Linked DNA regions of Caenorhabditis elegans. Each later gene encodes a partner of the first gene's protein in a complex. Each region holds a gene or a part of one and is shown in the gene's direction. Other genes may lie near its edges.

The links. Proteins that work in one complex are often made in the same cells at the same time.
Region 2: pat-3 (region 1) and pat-6 share a complex: the UniProt entries of both Caenorhabditis elegans proteins name them as parts of the integrin containing attachment complex.

The regions. Positions count from the first base shown.
Region 1 is NC_003281.10:3,912,313-3,916,069, reverse strand, and holds the start of pat-3 (Integrin beta pat-3), read left to right. Parts: upstream 1-1,920; 5' UTR 1,921-1,940; coding exon 1,941-2,138; intron 2,139-2,193; coding exon 2,194-2,398; intron 2,399-3,015; coding exon 3,016-3,419; intron 3,420-3,517; coding exon 3,518-3,757. UniProt on the Caenorhabditis elegans protein: Integrin alpha ina-1/beta pat-3 is a receptor for laminin. Integrin alpha pat-2/beta pat-3 recognizes the sequence R-G-D in its ligands. Plays a role in cell migration, morphogenesis and probably in cell-cell interactions.
Region 2 is NC_003282.8:262,514-266,270, reverse strand, and holds the start of pat-6 (Paralyzed arrest at two-fold protein 6), read left to right. Parts: upstream 1-2,038; 5' UTR 2,039-2,046; coding exon 2,047-2,214; intron 2,215-2,259; coding exon 2,260-2,335; intron 2,336-2,380; coding exon 2,381-2,568; intron 2,569-2,628; coding exon 2,629-2,763; intron 2,764-3,310; coding exon 3,311-3,601; intron 3,602-3,656; coding exon 3,657-3,757. UniProt on the Caenorhabditis elegans protein: Involved in the regulation of cell adhesion and cytoskeleton organization. Component of an integrin containing attachment complex, which is required for muscle development and maintenance.

The DNA.
Region 1 (3,757 bases):
CACAATAATCATCGATCTCCATATATCCTGACTGCTGCTGTCCACACTCCGTTTAACTGCTTCTTTTCTCTGTAGATTCCCCTCCTGCTAACAAAAGTACCAACAGTCGACCCCTCTTCTCATTGTGTCTGTCTCTCCACAGATTCAATGCTCTTTTATTCCGGGCTAGTGCTATGATTAAACACACAAGGGCAATACGAACACAGAGAGACATAGAGACAGAGGATACTAGTATATGTATGCACCAGATGTCTTACTACTTGTCATCCCTTGGTTCCCTTCTTCGTTTTGTTCCTCCCAATTTCAATTTCAATTCAGTTTGGATTTTGAATTAGTTCCTATCAGATTGTTATCGATTTGATGGATTGGAGACGGGAGACGGTGGGCGTGGGAAATTTAGAACAAGAATGACTCAGACGCTATTATTTTCTACTCTTTTCGTTATTTAAGTGTTGAAATCGTCGTTTTTCACAATGTCTAAATTGTTATATCGTTGTATGATAACTTTTGACAGCCATTTTAAAATTAATTATACTTTGACATTTTAATAATTACTAGGTGCATTCATAAGCTGTAAGAGCAAGAATTATAGTTATCTTCAAAGTTTCACCTAAACTAGTTTACCAGGAACAGTTTTGATGTTCAGCAATGAGTTTAAACATTTTTGGAATAGCGGGAAGCTTAAAAATACCCAAAATAGTCAGAAATTTCATTAAACCACAAAAAAAAGAAGGAAAATGTCGATCTAGAATGTGAAATCCTTTTTTTTAGTTTCAGCTAATATCCCTGTTTGAATGTCTTCCAAAATGAGAATCCACTCCCACTTTTGAACCAAACTAACGATATTGAAACTATCGAAAAATCCCTTTCCTCACCACATCAAACCCCCTCCTGTGAATTTCGCAATTTCATCGGTCTCTGATGTCTCTAGAAGCTCCCGATTCTAACGCCTTTTCACCCATTTCCCTTTGGTTTTCTTCCCTTCGTCTTCTTTGTTTCTTCGACGATACAAGCAGGTGTAACTCTCGTTACACTTTGGTCCGAGCCCCTCTCCCGGCCAACATAGAGCACTCTATCGCCTACACTATCTCTTCGAAGAGCATTCTGCTGCTGGGTTGATGGCAGTTGTGAAGAGAGAGAAGGCGAGAGATGCTCCTGTCGAAGCACTTGGCAGATCCGCCCACGTTCCGAAAAGAGGTGATCGGTGGACGTAGTTGATACTTTTATCGATTTTTAAGGTTTGAAAAGTTATGTGCATAACTTCCAAAAATGTTAAACGGATGAAGTTTTATCCCGAAATCTCAAATTTCATACATTACACATGTGTGCCTGCAGATACCGAATTAAGTTATTGTTTCCCGAAAATACTGTACCCGGTCTCGACACGACCGATTTTTCTCAAATCCGAGTTGTCTGAACTCCAATATTCCTCGCTGCAAGTTTTTTTATATTTTCCCCCGAAAACTATGTAATTTTCTAACAAAAAGAACATGACTCCGTTATACTTCCCGCATTCACTCCGTTTGTTGAGTAAACAATAAATTTTCCTACTATGGTGACTAATATTTCAAGAAGTCATTTTCTTTCAAAATTTCCTATATATTTTTTATTGTATAACTTTTATATTATAACTTTTTCTTCACTGAAGAAATTATGAATTGGGGATGTGCCATTTTTAGTATGATATTCTTGATTTTTATATCAAAATATTTTTTTCAAAAAATCTAACTTTTTTGGAGAGCTTTAAAAATTTCAAAAGTTGTATGAAAGTTGCCACCTGTTGAAAGCAGTTTGATATCAGGTTTCTGTAGAGTTTCATCATCAATTTTTCTTATAAATACACCATTTTTTAATCTCACCGTTTTTTTTTCTAATTACTCCGTTCTCAATGTACTAAAAGCCAATTAATTAATTTTTCAGTTGAACCTACCCGGCATCAAATGCCACCTTCAACATCATTGCTGCTCCTCGCAGCACTTCTTCCATTCGCTTTACCAGCAAGCGATTGGAAGACTGGAGAAGTCACTGGAAAAGTCGTCGAAAAATCAGAATTCCCATGCTACAGTCTGTCACGTGACAATTACACATGCTCAGCGTGCATTCAATATCATGAATCTTGCGCGTGGTGTGGAGCACCGGTATGTTAAATGCTTGAGACCATGAATTTATTTTATTTAATAAAAAAAATTCCAGATGTTCGACGAGAAGAAGCCATATGCCCGTTGTGATAGCCGTGCCAAGCTCATGGAACATGGATGTCCAAACAGTTATATCGAGGATCCGGCCACAAAATTGGATATCACTGAAGACAGTAAACTCTCCGATCAAGGACAAGTTGAATCTGAGGAAGAAGCCGTTCAGATCAAACCACAGGAGATGTACGTCGAAATTCGGCCCAGTAAGTTTTTTATATGGTTTTCAAAGATAATTCGTTTAAAAACTCGATGAAAATAATCAATAAAATACAAAAAATTTTTTGGGGTTTCAGCAAAAAAAACGAAGATTTCAGGGTAATTTCGTAGTCTTAAATTTTCAGGAAAAATTTGCACTAATTAAAGAAATGTTTTTCATTGATTTTTCACAACAAAAACCGCTGAAAATCACATTTGAAAATTGTCTCAAAAACACTGAAAAAAAAATCGTACTGCATTTTTTTTGCGGAAAGTTAAAATATTTCCGGTTTTGGTTATTTTCAGCCTCTTTTTTATTTAATTTTTATCTTAAAAAGCTCCTGTAATATACAATTAAGTGAAGTAATTTATTATTATTATCATAATTCGTTGATTTACACATTTTAGGCTCGTTTGACTATTTTTGGATTTTAAGAGATTTTTGGGCTTAAAATATGCCTAAATCAACGAATTAATGATAAACTTCTAAAATTTGCAATTCAGGGTGATTATAAAATAAAAATTAATTAGTGACCGCTGCGACTCGAAAACTTGTAAAATCACAAGATTTTTCTCTAAATCCAGTTCTTCAATATCAACAACAATCTAAATGTTTTTTTTTCAGAATCCCGTGTTCGTTTCAATGTGACCTACCGTCAAGCCGTTGATTATCCAGTTGACTTGTACTATTTGATGGATCTCTCATATTCCATGAAGGATGACAAACAGAAACTGTCCGAACTCGGAGACTTGCTCGCCGAACGAATGAGAACTGTCACAAAGAATTTCCGATTAGGATTCGGTTCATTCATTGACAAGAAACTTATGCCATTCATCGATCCACGAATCGAAAAACAATTATCTCCGTGTCCAACACCATGTGCAGAACCATATGGATTCAAGCATCAAATGTCATTGACGACGAACACGGCAAAGTTCAAGGCTGAAGTTGATAAAGCTGAAATTTCTGGAAATTTGGATGCTCCGGAAGGAGGTTTCGATGCTGTTGTTCAGGCGTTGGCTTGTAATGTAAGTGGTTATTTGATTTAAAAGAAAAATTCAAAAAGAATCAAATCAACATTTTTGAGATATCGGGAAAGCTTAAAATCTAAAAATCAATATTTCAGAAAACCATTGGGTGGCGTGAACGTGCTCGTAAAATGATCGTTTTCTCAACTGACGCTGGATTCCATTTCGCTGGAGACGGAAGATTGGCAGGTGTCGTCGAACCAAATGATGGAACATGTCATTTAGATAGAGAAGGATATTATACTGAAACACTTAATCAAGATTATCCATCAATTGCACTTCTTCATCAAATGATCAAGGATCGTAAGGCAAATGTCATTTTTGCTGTTACAAAGAAC
Region 2 (3,757 bases), on another chromosome or scaffold:
TAACTAAGATTTGGCAAATATCAAAAGTTTGGTCAACAGGAAAATGTTCAAAATTGAGTTGGTGGTTAACAAATAACCTACACATTCTCCCGAAAAAGAATTCATTAAAGATCAATGGGCACGATTGAAAACATGGCAAAGTTTTATTGAAAAATGAAAAACAGGCAAATATTTGGCTGAAATCGCTCAGTTTTCAGAAAATATCCACACTTTGACTGAAAATGGTGTAGGAATTGATGTAATAACAAGAGACAACAATCGATGTGGTTCCGTTTTTACAAATCGAATTGTTGATAACAAAGAAAATAAGGGAGCGTTTTGAAAATGAAGGAACTGGTTTTTCGATTGTACGAGATACAATAGTTCTTGACACAGACACCTACAATTTGTTGATAACGAAGGATAGACGCATCGGGTTGATGATTAAACAAATTTGAAGGAAGTACACGAAATTTCAAAAATTTAAAGGTGGAGTAGCGTCAATGGGGATTTTGTCTAAATACGCTTATTATGATTTCAAACGACCGAATATCATAATAAAACTACAAAAATTTTTAGATTTTCCCTAATTTCGGTCAAAGTTTTGGCACATTACCAAAATTTTGACAAATATGAGCTTTTGAGGACATCCAAAGCAATGTCGCATATTCCGGTCTTTACAATGATTCAACAAAAATAATTGAAACAAAATTACAGTATAAAAAATGTAGGAAAAATAATTTTTTTTGGTCGACTTCCAAAATTATGAGTGGCAAAAACTGAATATTGAACACTTTTTGACAGTGAATAAAAATTTTTCAAAAAAGTTTTGAAAAGTTTTATTATGATTATTTGTCACTTTGGCACCATAGGAGTATTTTTTAACACTTACTCCATTGGCCCTACTCCACCTTTAATAATTTTCAGATTTCCTAATTTTCTAGATTGCATGCTAATTTTTACAATTACTAGTTCAATGTTTCTTAATCTGATTTCGGTTTAATGCAACTATTATCATACGCCAGGAAATCGAATGTACCGTACGTATAATCAATGTAACTGATGTGATTTTTCATAATTTTTTCCTAAAATTGTTTTTCAAAATTTTTTCAAAAATTGCTATGGAAAAAACTATTTTCAAAAGACCGACCTGTGGACCGACTGTACCGTATTTCCTCTATTAGTCTTGCACTCCTACAGACTAATTGAAAATCAGTCTTACAGCCTGTAATAGTCTAGCACCCCACTTTTTGTCATATTAGCAGAACTTTGTGGAAACGTAAGCAAATTTATCATTTTTGGAGTAAATCAAATGTAAAATCGTTCAAATAATTGATGTAATATTGGGAAAGTATGTATTTTTCATTGTTTGAACGGTCAAAATTGTATCACTTTCCAAAGTTCGAAAAATAGTTTTCAGTCTCTATTAGTCTTGCACCCCTAAAGACCAATTGAAAATTAGTCTCGCATGCAAGACTAATAGCGAAAATACGGTAAATGCAGAGTTGTTGTCTTTCTTAATTTATTTTTATTTTTATTTATTTGAATATTAGTTGTTATATGGACGTCCTTTTCTTTCTCAATACATATGCATATACAAATATTAACTTTCCGTTCTTCTTTCCTATTCCCATACATTTATATGTATCCCAAAGCCTTCTCTCTCCCCCACACACACCATTTATCTGCACCATCCTCTTTTCACCCAATCTCTCATTTGTCGTAAACTCTCCTTCCAACTCTACGTCTCTTATTGTTCCCAACACTCTCTCACTTTTTCAACACTGACGACGGCTGTTTTACACTATCTGCTGGCCTGGATGGGGACTTTTGTGTTGCTCTACGGAAAGAATCCTCCCACACAATATTTTTACTGCTATTTGAACATTGAATTATCGATTTTTCAAATTTAAATTTAAGTGCTTAAAGAGGAAATGTTCCAAAACAGAGTTTCATAATGAGACTTCAAAATTTTTTTAACTTATCAATATCTAATTGTACTTTATTTTTTATTATGAATCAACAAATATTTACCCCTTAATAATTTTAAACTTTTCAGCAATAACCATGTCAACACTTGGTCGTAGTAAGACCCCATCTCGTGACGAACCAAAAAAGCCTGGAGTCTTTGAGAAACTCTCTGGTACCCTTTCTCGAAAGAAGAAGGCGCCGGAAGATGAGCATGGAAACCAAGGGGGTGCACATCATGCTACTGATGAAGATGAAGTTTTGGAGGTTAGTTTTGCAAATTAATGGTTTTAGCAAATATAGATTTTTCAGCTTGAACTTGAAGGTCGTGAGGCTCTCGATCAGTCATTGGTCCCAGTTCTTGCAAGAAACATCTGGTTGGAAGAAGGTAAACGGTTTCACCAATATATTTATCCAATATATTTTTTTCCAGGAGAAATTCGTCGTTATCTGACTAAGGAAACAGCCCGCGATCAGAAGTTGGCACAAGTTGTCGATTTGCTGATCTACTGGCTTAATGAAGAGCTAGCTGATCAAAGAATTGTCGTTCGTCACTTGCAAGAAGATCTTTTCGATGGTCAAATCATCCAGAAGCTGTTGGAAAAGTTGGAGCAGATTCGAGTAAGTTATTGGTACAATTTCACAAATTGAATAAATTCTCCACTCACAGTTTTGTTACAGATCGAGGTTCCAGAAGTTTCGCAGTCAGAAGAAGGACAACGTCAAAAACTGCAAATTGTAGTTCAAACAGCCAATCGAATTCTCGGACAGCCAAGAGAACAAGAGAAATGGTCTGCGGATCTTATTCATCAAAAGGTACGCAAATCTTTGTCTGAATTGTTCATTTCTATCAGTCTTACATTTCATTGTGCAGATGTTTGACGCACTGTAGACAAAAGAGTTTCTCACTCGAAGCTGTTCCAAAAACTACCGTATATTCTATATTAGTATGATATGTTAATCTGTGGACACCTCCGCCACACAATACTATTCATCATTTACTATATATAAAGCGCTTATTCTGTGTGTCCATAGTTTGTAGTCTATGTAGTCTTTGTAGTCTGTGAAGTTTTGGCTTCTTGGGATAGTGAGTTGGGGTTAGTGTAGGGATATAGTCGAAGTACTGTATTGGCACAATAGTGGTACGGTAGGAATACTGTAGTTTCAGAAAAAATCAGTTTTCACCCCCAGGTCCACGGCTGGTAATCTATATAGAAATTCGTGAACTGCAATACTAATTTTCGAGGTGGTTTTTGGATGCAAAACTTATTGAGAATATACGATAGTTGAACGCAACAGTACTTTTCGAATAAACAGAGTTACTTTCCATATTTTATATTTTCTCATAAAAGAATATTCCCAGGACTTCACTGCCATCATCCAGCTCCTGGTGCTTCTTGCTCTTCACTACCGTGCTCCAGTTCGATTCCCAGATAACGTGGTTGCTAACGTTGTGGTGGCTCAAAAGGAACATGGTCAAGTGAAGACCCATCGAATTACTGAGCAAATCACTACAGTTCAAACTGAGTTGGCACCGAAGGGCACTCGTGACGCATTTGATACGCTTTTCGATTATGGACCCGATAAGTTGGCTCATGTGAAGACATCTTTGTTGGCTTTTTGTAATAAGCATTTGAATAAAATTAATCTGGAAGTAAGTTTATTCACTTCATTGTGCTACAAAGAAGCTGATATTTGTAAATTTTTAGGTGTCTGATTTGGATAATCAATTCCAGGACGGAGTTTTCTTAGTTCTCCTAGTGGGACTTCTTGAAGGTTATTTCGTCCCGCTTTACCATTTTAATCTCCA